3 linked regions of the Schizosaccharomyces pombe genome follow. Changing the gene in region 3 together with the main gene of any one other region gives a genetic interaction. Each region holds a gene or a part of one and is shown on either strand. Other genes may lie near its edges. The genes, in order: otg3, otg2 and gmh1.

Region 1 (4,310 bases), on a different chromosome or scaffold from region 3:
ATTGTTGTTAAAAAAATTATCTAACGATTATGAAGTATTCAATTTGGCCATGACCCTAGTGTTCATACAGCTGCTACTTTAGCTTCTGAAATGTGTTATCAAAACAAAAATATGCTTAGTGCAGGTTTAATTGTTGCTGGATATGATGAAAAAACTGGGGGAGATGTTTACAGTATTCCGTTAGGTGGTAGTTTGCATAAGCAACCTTTAGCTATTGGAGGAAGTGGTTCTGCTTTTATTTATGGATTTTGCGATGCTAACTTTCGCGAAAATATGACCCAAGAGGAGGCTGTTGAATTTTTAAAGAACGCTGTTGCTTTAGCCATGGAACGCGATGGCAGCAGTGGTGGTACCATTCGAATGGTCATTTTAAATAAAGATGGAATGGAGCGTAAATTTTTTGCCATTGATACTGCTAACCCTATTCCCGTATTTACTCACTAAGTACTTCACGTTTCCTTTTATTTTACGTGACTATACTGATACCCAATGCTTATGCTAGACTTGACCTTATTAATGCCTGTCTCATTATTTGTAGCTTTTGGAGTGCAAGGTCATGAAGAAAAGTTACTTTTCTGGTCAGTGAGATAAGTCTTTGTGATGATTAAAATAGAAAGATTTTTTATAGTTACAGTTAACTACCGAAGTGTAGTTATATTGTTGATAGTGAAAGAATATTATTGTTATGAGTCCTATGTAATTGTCATAAGAGTAAAAATGTTGTAAGATGCCTGCAAGCACATTTAAAATTTTGATTATCAGCTTCATACAAGAAAATTGTAATCAGCCATGTAAAATATAAAATTAGTCCGAACACCGGTAGACCCTTCTAAAGAAGAATAAAATATGATGTGTCTTTTTTTGTTTAAAATTGAATGCAGAAATTATGTGAAAAGAACAAACTTTAACGGTAAGAATATACACGGTGAGATATGTATTAAGCTCTTCAACAGGTACACCGTAGTTACAGGTCAAGGAATGGAAGTGGGACAAAAAAATAATGAAGCATGAAAACATTAAAGATAAACGCCCCCCTTCATTTTTTATTCTACAACATAGTCATGAAAAGCCAGCAACTCTCCGAACGCTTTATGCCACTCGGCAGTCAAAATTTGGGGAAACTCCGTGTTGTCATATTCCCAAAATTTACCATGAGCAGCACGAAGATAGGGTAAGTCCTCTTCGGTGACCCAAACTCCATTATATGAAAAATCGAGCCTCGTCCAGGGAAACCAACCATATTTATTATAAGCAAGATTTAATAAACTTTGTTCCATCATTCTAGCATCGTCATACATATAAGGATAACGTGCTATCTTCTTAATCCTATGCATATGAAGACTACTGGGATGAACAAGCATCAGCCCGGCATTAAAAGTTTCAGATTCTTCTGGGGGCGTCGCATGTCCAGGGTTACGATCGTCACATGCGCCAAGAAGATATGGATAGAATTCTGAGCGAGGAGCACCATAGGCATCGAAATTGTCGCTAAACTGATAATCCTCTTCATCATCTGGCTTCTTAAAGATAGGAAAGCTAAACATATCGGGTTCTGCAGGAGATTCATAAACATAGGGAGTATCAAAAATGTCATCCATGTTTTTCAATACTAGGAGATCGCTATCCAGAATGCAGACCTTATCAAACTGTGTTTGCTCAAATACACTGAGTTTTGTGAACATGTATTGATAACGATAACTGCCCATGCCAATAGACAAACCACTTTCAATTAAGTCTTCAGTTTTAATTTGATCGACCATAATTATTTCGGCCCCATCAAGTCGCAATCGTTCAATTTTCCATTCATCAACCCCTTTCATAACAAGGACATGAACGGGATATTTACTTTTCGTTTCAGGATGATGTTTCAGCTTGTATACTAGTACTCGAGTAGCATTGAAGTATACATCATGTTCTGAAGTAGGAAGGGTAAGTAAGCCCATAAATGTATACCTTTTTAAATCATCTACATTATCGTTATAATATGGGCCATGCTTATGAAGCCCAAATTCATAGGCTGCCGATGAAATTAGCGATCCAGGAAATGCGGGATCCCGATATATTTGGATCCCTAAAAGTAAACCCAAATTCAGCAAAAGAATTAGTGAAATCAAGACAAATTTTGAGCGAAGTAGAAGCCTGGTATGTAAGCGTAACCGCTTAAAGAAATTCATATTCTATAAAGCAAATTTTATCGCTTTCCGCAACTTCGTTTATAGCTATAAAATCCCCACCAGAATAATAAAAACCCTAGGATTATAACTGACTATATCTCGTTAAGACTTGCTAGGTTTAATACAATAAATATAATGTAGTTTGTATTATTGAGTTTGGTAGTGGCTGACTACAATTTAGGAGACTAAAGGTACGATGTAATGCGTACGAAGTATAGTTTTTCATGTAAAATTTTAAGATTATTTGAGTTTACAGTACTTGTTATTTGACATTAAAAGGTTTAAAAAATTTATCAATTACTTGCTATTGATATTTTCTATCCCATCTTCACTCTATCTAAAACCAAGCCTTCTTTGATATATATATTTAAAACAACTTTTAAATAGATTTGCTACCTAAAACATTTTCAAATGTCTTATTGAAATCTAAAAATGAAAAACATGCTAAGGATACGTATGCTCACTAATTAGCAATTTTTATATAAATCCGTTGGTTTTCCTTTGGTCAAAGAAAAAGCATTTATAACATGTTTGCTTACAATTTTAAAATTGATGATAGGACTAACACTTGATTCTTTACACTAATTAGGAATTTTTTAAGAAGGAGCAAAATTTCTTGAAACCATTGAACTTTCAGTGAGTTTTAAACATACGTGATCTAATTTGCATACAGAGAGGAAGCTATTTTTTTGATTATGGTTTACCTGTATCCAGAATCCCATCGATCGTGTATATGAATTTGAATAGTATAGTGGTTTTAAAAAAGGACGGAGGAAACACAAATTATTTTAGAATGACTGTAAAAATGAGATAGCCTTTCAACAGTACGTGTTGTCAGCAATACATTAAATGAAAATAACTGCTTCTTAAAAGTCAAAAGCCGCCTTATTTTTTACTTGATCACGACATGAAAATTGCTTTCATCTGTTTAATATAAATCAGCATTACGTTGTTGGTCATGATACGTTTGCATTTCTTGAAACGCATCCCACCATAGCTTGGATGTGTCTTCATCATAACCTAGACTTCCTTCTGGTTGCCAATGTTTTCCATGAACTGCTTTTAGATATGGTAAGTCATTTTTTCTAGCCCAAAGTCCGTTAAAAGTCCAATCAAGTGACTCCCATGGAAAAGCACCTGCTGAATTGTATGCAAAATTTAGCAAACTTTGCTCCATCATGTTTGCATTATCATACAATTTTGGAAACCTTGCTAATGCCATTAACCTTTTATAATGTGCCTTCAATGGCTTAAAGACGAATAGACCAGCATTAAAATAATCTTTAAAAGGAGGAGGAGTTTCATGCCACATACCTGGATCGGACACAGCAGCGAAAACGTAGGGATAAAGATCGTCTCTTGTCAGCCCGTAAGCTGCAAACTCTTCTGTAAAGCGTCTCCAAAAAATGCTGCGCCTAGGCTTGTAGAATAGGGTGGGAGGAAACAGAACAGAATCCTTACTATAGGAGAGTTGGTGAACATCAAAAACTTTGTCCATTTTTTTAATAGGCAAAATATCACTATCAAGAAAACATATTCTATCATATTCGTACATTTCGAAAACTCTCAACTTGGTAAACATCATACTCCATCGGGAATCCAGTAGGGCAATGTCATTGACATCGTCAACCACTTCATGAGCATATAGTGGATCGACTACTTTAACAATAGCTCCGTCTTCCTGCAATTGATCAAGCTTCCACTGATCAATTCCCTTCATGGCTAGCACTACAACGGGATACTTGCTTTTCGTAGGTTTAAATTTGACAAGTCGGTGAACGAGAAGCCTAGTTGAATTATAATACCAATCCTGTTGCGTATTTTCTACTTCGTTTTCCCCATTAGCGGCGCGTACAGTAAGCATAGTTACAAATGCCATCTTAGAAGAGGGCGCCAACCCTGTCAGTGTGTAAACTGACCTTTGTATTTCTGGACTATGATTGTATAGCAAAACACATTGCCAACCTAATAAAATAATGCTCAAGGTAATCAGTAAACACAGTCCTAGTCGTTTGGGATGGCGAAAAGCACTAAAATATAAACGCATTTTAATGGCAATTGATTGCCAAATTATAAAATGGTGGTGCTTTCGGAGAGAATTACTCTACATACTCCCTTAATGTTTGTTGGTGCATC
Region 2 (4,045 bases), on a different chromosome or scaffold from region 3:
ATTCAGCAAAAGAATTAGTGAAATCAAGACAAATTTTGAGCGAAGTAGAAGCCTGGTATGTAAGCGTAACCGCTTAAAGAAATTCATATTCTATAAAGCAAATTTTATCGCTTTCCGCAACTTCGTTTATAGCTATAAAATCCCCACCAGAATAATAAAAACCCTAGGATTATAACTGACTATATCTCGTTAAGACTTGCTAGGTTTAATACAATAAATATAATGTAGTTTGTATTATTGAGTTTGGTAGTGGCTGACTACAATTTAGGAGACTAAAGGTACGATGTAATGCGTACGAAGTATAGTTTTTCATGTAAAATTTTAAGATTATTTGAGTTTACAGTACTTGTTATTTGACATTAAAAGGTTTAAAAAATTTATCAATTACTTGCTATTGATATTTTCTATCCCATCTTCACTCTATCTAAAACCAAGCCTTCTTTGATATATATATTTAAAACAACTTTTAAATAGATTTGCTACCTAAAACATTTTCAAATGTCTTATTGAAATCTAAAAATGAAAAACATGCTAAGGATACGTATGCTCACTAATTAGCAATTTTTATATAAATCCGTTGGTTTTCCTTTGGTCAAAGAAAAAGCATTTATAACATGTTTGCTTACAATTTTAAAATTGATGATAGGACTAACACTTGATTCTTTACACTAATTAGGAATTTTTTAAGAAGGAGCAAAATTTCTTGAAACCATTGAACTTTCAGTGAGTTTTAAACATACGTGATCTAATTTGCATACAGAGAGGAAGCTATTTTTTTGATTATGGTTTACCTGTATCCAGAATCCCATCGATCGTGTATATGAATTTGAATAGTATAGTGGTTTTAAAAAAGGACGGAGGAAACACAAATTATTTTAGAATGACTGTAAAAATGAGATAGCCTTTCAACAGTACGTGTTGTCAGCAATACATTAAATGAAAATAACTGCTTCTTAAAAGTCAAAAGCCGCCTTATTTTTTACTTGATCACGACATGAAAATTGCTTTCATCTGTTTAATATAAATCAGCATTACGTTGTTGGTCATGATACGTTTGCATTTCTTGAAACGCATCCCACCATAGCTTGGATGTGTCTTCATCATAACCTAGACTTCCTTCTGGTTGCCAATGTTTTCCATGAACTGCTTTTAGATATGGTAAGTCATTTTTTCTAGCCCAAAGTCCGTTAAAAGTCCAATCAAGTGACTCCCATGGAAAAGCACCTGCTGAATTGTATGCAAAATTTAGCAAACTTTGCTCCATCATGTTTGCATTATCATACAATTTTGGAAACCTTGCTAATGCCATTAACCTTTTATAATGTGCCTTCAATGGCTTAAAGACGAATAGACCAGCATTAAAATAATCTTTAAAAGGAGGAGGAGTTTCATGCCACATACCTGGATCGGACACAGCAGCGAAAACGTAGGGATAAAGATCGTCTCTTGTCAGCCCGTAAGCTGCAAACTCTTCTGTAAAGCGTCTCCAAAAAATGCTGCGCCTAGGCTTGTAGAATAGGGTGGGAGGAAACAGAACAGAATCCTTACTATAGGAGAGTTGGTGAACATCAAAAACTTTGTCCATTTTTTTAATAGGCAAAATATCACTATCAAGAAAACATATTCTATCATATTCGTACATTTCGAAAACTCTCAACTTGGTAAACATCATACTCCATCGGGAATCCAGTAGGGCAATGTCATTGACATCGTCAACCACTTCATGAGCATATAGTGGATCGACTACTTTAACAATAGCTCCGTCTTCCTGCAATTGATCAAGCTTCCACTGATCAATTCCCTTCATGGCTAGCACTACAACGGGATACTTGCTTTTCGTAGGTTTAAATTTGACAAGTCGGTGAACGAGAAGCCTAGTTGAATTATAATACCAATCCTGTTGCGTATTTTCTACTTCGTTTTCCCCATTAGCGGCGCGTACAGTAAGCATAGTTACAAATGCCATCTTAGAAGAGGGCGCCAACCCTGTCAGTGTGTAAACTGACCTTTGTATTTCTGGACTATGATTGTATAGCAAAACACATTGCCAACCTAATAAAATAATGCTCAAGGTAATCAGTAAACACAGTCCTAGTCGTTTGGGATGGCGAAAAGCACTAAAATATAAACGCATTTTAATGGCAATTGATTGCCAAATTATAAAATGGTGGTGCTTTCGGAGAGAATTACTCTACATACTCCCTTAATGTTTGTTGGTGCATCATACACATTTTGCTTACTTTCAATACCAAAACAAACTCAACACCCTGAAAAACAAATAACATAATTAAATCGACTTTATAACGTAAAAACATCAAATGTTTAAAAATTAAACAAGCTTACTATTTTAACTATAAGAAATGTTAAGATACATGACTCTGACTTAAAATTTTCTCTTATTTAATAAGACGTTTAACCTAAACCAATTATAGTATAATACTAAATAGTTACCGACAAGCTAAGCTACTCAAACTATGTCGAAATGGGTGAATGACGAGATAAAGACAGTTGCTTCCACTGAGGGTTAACAGCCAGTGTGAAAAAAGGATAAAATAACGGTGACTTGAAAAAAGGGCTATCGAACAACTGTTAGAAATTGTCCGGATTTTTTAGGTTATAACAATTGCTTAGGGAAGCAAATTAAGACGGGAAGCAATATCCACTTGAGTACGTAAGGTATTTGCGAGATAAACTACAACCAAAACATCTTGAAGATGTGATGAAAAAATTTTTTCAAAATCTTGGCCTTCTACGCAAGGAATTAAACTAAAGCACTTCATCAAATATCTACCGACAGCAACATTAGCAGGCGAAGAACCATCAATTACGTTTTGCACATAATCGGAAACTCTTTCAATCATAGATAAAAGCTCCAAGGTTGATCTTCGAAGTTGCTGGAGATCTGTGAATAGGCTAGCAAGTCTAGATGGGTCATTCTTAGGAGCAGCTACAGCTTTCAAACCAGAACGGACTGCCTCGTCATCACGAATGGTAAAAGGGGTAGGGACGAATGCACAGCTGTCAGCAAGGCGCTCTGTAATACCTACTGGTGAAGAAACGTAAGTCTTGATGGCAAGGGGACTGCTAACATCTGTGTTGACAGTAAGGTGAACACAGGGATGAGGATACGTTCCTAGTGGAGCAGTTCCGGGTTCAGCAGGAGAAGCATATAAATTTTGAATCAGTGCACTGAAAGCATCTAAATCAGGAGAAGTAGCATACCAACCAACGACAACTTCACGAGGGTTAGCCTTGAGGTGTAAATGGTACATCGCACGATGATATTCCATTTCAACTTCTACCTGCTCACTGCTCTCATTATGAGGAACTGCAAAACAACTTTTAATCTCAATTTCTCGGCCATCTTCAGAACGTGTTCCCAAAAGTGTACCGATAACACGTTGATTATTTTCACTTTTCCGGGTTGAATGGTCAAGGATAGAAAAAAGCACTGCTGGTTCAATGACAATGTTCAAAGGACTTGACCTGGAAGACGGTTTTGTGAGATGGAGTACGTGCTTAGTCCCCAAAGCCATTTTTTAAAATTTTCACGTTGTTGGCTACTCTCAGGTAGGTAGATCTGGTATTGTTCCCCAATCAATAATAATTTTACTGTACTAGTTTACAGTCTCATAGAATTCGTTAAATTGAAGACACTATTTTTCGCCTAACTTCTAAGGTTTACCATTTAAGAAAGTGTATTTTCAGTTGCGTTGAATAATCTAAAAAATCTCCTTAACAATGTCTCATTTGTACGTACAATAATGAGAAACTCTTTATTCAAAATTCTATAACTATTTACATTTGTACATTCTCTGGTTAAAAATCATTTATATATATATACAATGTTCAAAAAATTCGGTTAGCAAAAAAGTGTAAACATAAAACCCAAAAAAGCAGTTTGCTTTTTCTTGACTAATAATGAACAGTAATTTAACTCATATCAGCAAAAACAGAGCACTCACGAACATGAATACCATAGGAAGTAGGAACCTTCGTTTCTTCATAAGCACTTTCTAGCTGAGAACCTCCACTAGAAGAAGTA
Region 3 (4,184 bases):
TGATATATTTGATACTCCTTATATGTACCAACAAATTAATACCTTGAACTATACACGGCTACCTTCCTACACGAAGCCTGATGATGATACCGTCTATCACTTCAATGAGGATTTTAAAGAATATGGTGCCAGTCGAAGCGAATTTTACCCTTATCTTCTCGCAGCCGTCTCTGATAGAGGAGAGCATCATAGTATACCTCCAGAAGATACTCCTTATTTCAATGCTGGCTTAATGCTTATACGTCCAAGCGAGCTTCATTTTAACCGTATACTTAAAATCGGAAGGTTTCCTTATATGTATGAGAATGCCAAAATGATGGAGCAAAGCTTGTTGAATCTTGCATTTTCCTTGGACGGATGGTTTCCCTGGACTCGTCTTGATCCTTATTACAATGGCGTGTGGCCCTCAATTGACGAACGTCCTCTCTTAAAAACAGCACACGGAAAATTCTGGAATATTGGTAGCTCAGAATTTGCACCAGTATATTTAGCTGACTGGTATGCTGCTTATGGCGAAATGCTGTCTTTTCATAAGTATGAAACTCATTAAAGGAGGAATACCTTTCTTTTTTCTGTATTGTGACCTTATTTTACAATTAGAAGTTAAAATCTAATTGTATGTTATATATTTGAAAATTTCTTTAACTTATTACCATAATTTTATTTTAGACTTGCTATCCTTATTGTCTAAACGCACATTGTTTAGATCTCTTCAGCTTTCTTTGATTGCTGGCTATGTATACAACTTTATTACCTGCGTCTGTCTATAAATCCCGTTAGCGGTGATTTGCTTTCGGTCAGCCTATTTTTAGAATATAATTTTGGACTTGCGGTTGATTTTAATATACCTCTCATCTCTCCTTCATTATGGACTCATTAGACCTTATGAACAAACCCCAATTTTAATTATTATCACAAGCGTTTAGCAATTTTTGATGCTTAAACTAGCCTGAGGTCCAAACAGGATAGTTTAATTAGTGTTAGACATTAATATTTTTTAGAAAAAGATACTTTATGTCTAGAGGGTTGTTTTTGAAGCATTTTATAGAATTTATTCTTTTTTAAGAAAATTAATTAGATTTGTAAAAATGTGCAGCTTCATAATTATTTATGGAGCGAATCATTTATGTTTAAATAAGACGGCATTAATATAACGAAGTAAAAGATAAATAGTAATAATAAATTAACTGTAAATGCAATTGAAAATGTTAGAGGCTATAACGCGCCGACACTTGGGCATTGATTTAGCCTTTTAAATTATTTTATCTTTGTATTTAGTCCATAACTCGGCGCATTTGTTTTCAACCCAACATCCAGCGAAATGAAGAGCTAGATCTCCTTCTTGCCATTGCATTGTAGGGGGTCCTTCATGAAAAGCATTGATAAATCTTTGAGGAAGAATGCCAACCATGGAAGCTACCTGCGAGTGTTTTTGAATGAAATAGCCGATCAAATCTTGTTCATGACGCACGACTCCTGCATCTGCCAAAGAAGGATCAGTCAATAAATCCATTAGTAAAGCGATGGATCTTGAATTTCGTACTAAAAAGCTTCCTGCATTCAATCCGTTATGATCCTGAGAAATTAGAAATTGTATTTGTTCTATCATTTCCTTGGAGTAAGCCGCTGGAGTGATTCTGAAATTATCTTCTCCGAAAGAGTTTATAATTGGTTGCTCCCTAAGCAATGATTTTTGGAGCATTGCAGGTGAGAGAAATAATTCCTGTAAGGACAGATTTTTGTTCATTATAAGAGCATCCTGATCTAGCCACCAGATCCATTTTGCGGATGGATACTTGCGCATTGTTTGTAGAATTGCGGGCATCTTTCCCCATACAGGTGGCACTACCAGACTGGAAACGTTAACGAATTCAAAATTGTAGTTTTGAAGTTTCGCATACTCTATACGATTTTTAAAGCAATCATCTAGTAAGTTAGATTCAAAACTTCCAACGTTTCCATCGCTAGCAAGAAGCATTACTATTTCATGTGATTTTGGTTCATTGAGATCTTCGTGATTAACGGTTGCTGTATACAAAGTTGTGCTTCCGCCGATCAAAAAATTATCGAGAGATGTCACCGTAGTTTCATATTGAAGTGCAGGAAGTTTAAAATCAAAAACAGAAATCTCGTCGTGCGGAATAAAATATAGCCCGAAGGCAAAAAAGGTGAAAACTATAGCCAAAGCTAACATAATAAGCTTCCTTTTAGTCAAGGTATTTTTTGTAAAAAAGGAAAGCATTTTGTTTTGTGAAAGAGTGATTTGATCTGCAAATTAATAAAAGAGTGATTCGTTGTTTCGGAAAACTACGTTTATAAAATTATAGATTATGCTCAGGTTTTAAAAAATTGATGTTGTTCGTAAAAAATTGAAGCCTCTGAAGATATAATGTGTAATTATCTGGACTTGAACATATTGAATATTTATGACTGAATAATTATCAACGCGGCTTCATTGCATATTGACATCACAATTTATCCGTGGTGTAAATTTAGGTTGAGTTAAGCGAGCTTTGAACTAGAAAAGTAAACTCAACGATGAATATTCTTACAGGATTAAAACAAACTAAAAATTATTTCAGCAATACATAAGAAAATCTCCGACAAGAAGTTTATTATTTGTTCCGTTATTACACTTTCGCGAAACAATATGTCTTAAAACGTACAATAAAGCTTCCAAATATTTTTCAGGTAGTATCAGTATTGTAATTCTTAAAATGTTGGAAATAATTATTGGAAAAAAAAAGTCGTCTAGTACTGGCTCTTTACTTCGCACCTGTAACAAGTTGTTTGATGACTAAAAAGGGTCTAGCGAAATTACCCGCTGTCATTCACTCAACCTTCTTGGTATCCAAAAATTCTTTCGAAAATGGGTAGTCTATATAACCCTTAGGACTCATCTTTGTATAAAAAGTTGCGCGGTCCCATTTGTTTAAGGGAAGGTTATACTTGAGTCGGAATGGGAGATCTGGATTTGATAGAAAATACCTCCCGAACGCTACTAAAGTGTTTTCTTGTTCAGCCATTTGTATGGCCGAGTCTCGGTCATGTCCACCTGCAGTGATAAATGGATCCCCCCAAAGGTTTTTGTAGATCAATGTATTCTTTTCTTGCGTTATATGCACATGCCCATTCCAGTATTGCCTAGGTTCGATAGCATGTAAATAGGCCAAATTAGGAAACCTCTCCTTTATTTTTTTTATCATAAACACGTGTGCCTCAAAAGAATCCTTGTCTTTCCAAATATCTGAAAACGGAGAAATCCTATATCCAACGCGCTCTTGACCTATGGCATTCACGACAGACTCTAGAAGTTCAAGGCAAAATCTAGCACGATTTTCTAAAGACCCACAATATTCCGGATCACATTTGTCACCATAGCCGTTTAGTACAAATTTGTCCAAAAGAAATCCATTCACTTGATGAACTTCAACACCATCTGCACCACAACCGAAAACAGCTCGTTTCGCTGCTTCAGTATACGTTGTGATGTGTTCCTGTATATCTTGTTTTGTCATAAATTTATCGACATACAGCTCCTCTCCACAAATAGAGTAGGCACTGCCTAGAGCAGCAGGCAATCCGGTAGGATCCATTGGGCATTCCCCTTGTGTAACTTTTTCCAACCTTTCCTGATCTTCAAGATAATCGACCTTTAGCTCTCCAGGAAGGTTCCAAAACTGTATAAACACAAAGCAATCATTGTCATGGATCGCCTGTACAATTGGTTTCCAAGCTTCTACATGTTCATCGTTGTACAAGCAAGGGATATTACTAAAGCCTCCCGACTTTGCGCCTGAAAATAATGATTCTGTAATGAGTAATGTGCCAGGAATCGAACTGCGTTGCTTGTAGTATTCCTTCACAAGATCTGTCATTACAAGGCCATTATCTAAGCATCGTAGACGGGTAGCCGGTGCGTGAACCATTCGATGTTGAAGTTGCATGTTACCAACCTTAATGGGCTGAAACAATTTACTCTGCGATTCATATAACTTTTGAACAGCCATCCTGGTGTGTATCAAAGAAAAGAGCAGACCTGATGGAGAATTTTGATCAAAAAAAATTTATTAGGTAGCGCTAAAGACGAAAATACCTTGAATATCAAAAGGAAAATAATAAAATTGAAAACTTCACAAAAGAAGTGAAGATCTTATAAATCTTTTTGTGTATGAAGTTTAGGA

Evidence for each region.
Region 1: mutations in gmh1 (region 3) and otg3 impair growth when combined (synthetic growth defect), as found in Schizosaccharomyces pombe (one study listed by BioGRID).
Region 2: mutations in gmh1 (region 3) and otg2 impair growth when combined (synthetic growth defect), as found in Schizosaccharomyces pombe (one study listed by BioGRID).

Annotation. Positions count from the first base shown.
Region 1 is NC_003423.3:3,118,184-3,122,493, forward strand, and holds otg3 (alpha-1,3-galactosyltransferase Otg3), read right to left. Parts: upstream 2,343-4,310; 5' UTR 2,175-2,342; coding exon 1,044-2,174; 3' UTR 654-1,043; downstream 1-653. Other genes in the region: proteasome core particle subunit beta 1 Pre3, read left to right, coding at 36-444; alpha-1,3-galactosyltransferase Otg2, read right to left, coding at 3,103-4,221.
Region 2 is NC_003423.3:3,120,271-3,124,315, forward strand, and holds otg2 (alpha-1,3-galactosyltransferase Otg2), read right to left. Parts: upstream 2,179-4,045; 5' UTR 2,135-2,178; coding exon 1,016-2,134; 3' UTR 501-1,015; downstream 1-500. Other genes in the region: alpha-1,3-galactosyltransferase Otg3, read right to left, coding at 1-87; tif306 (translation initiation factor eIF3f), read right to left, coding at 2,628-3,536; cytoskeletal protein Syp1, read right to left, coding at 3,934-4,045.
Region 3 is NC_003424.3:162,786-166,969, reverse strand, and holds gmh1 (alpha-1,2-galactosyltransferase Gmh1), read right to left. Parts: upstream 2,243-4,184; coding exon 1,253-2,242; 3' UTR 635-1,252; downstream 1-634. Other genes in the region: alpha-1,3-galactosyltransferase Otg1, read left to right, coding at 1-550; SPOM_SPAC5H10.10 (NADPH dehydrogenase), read right to left, coding at 2,832-4,010.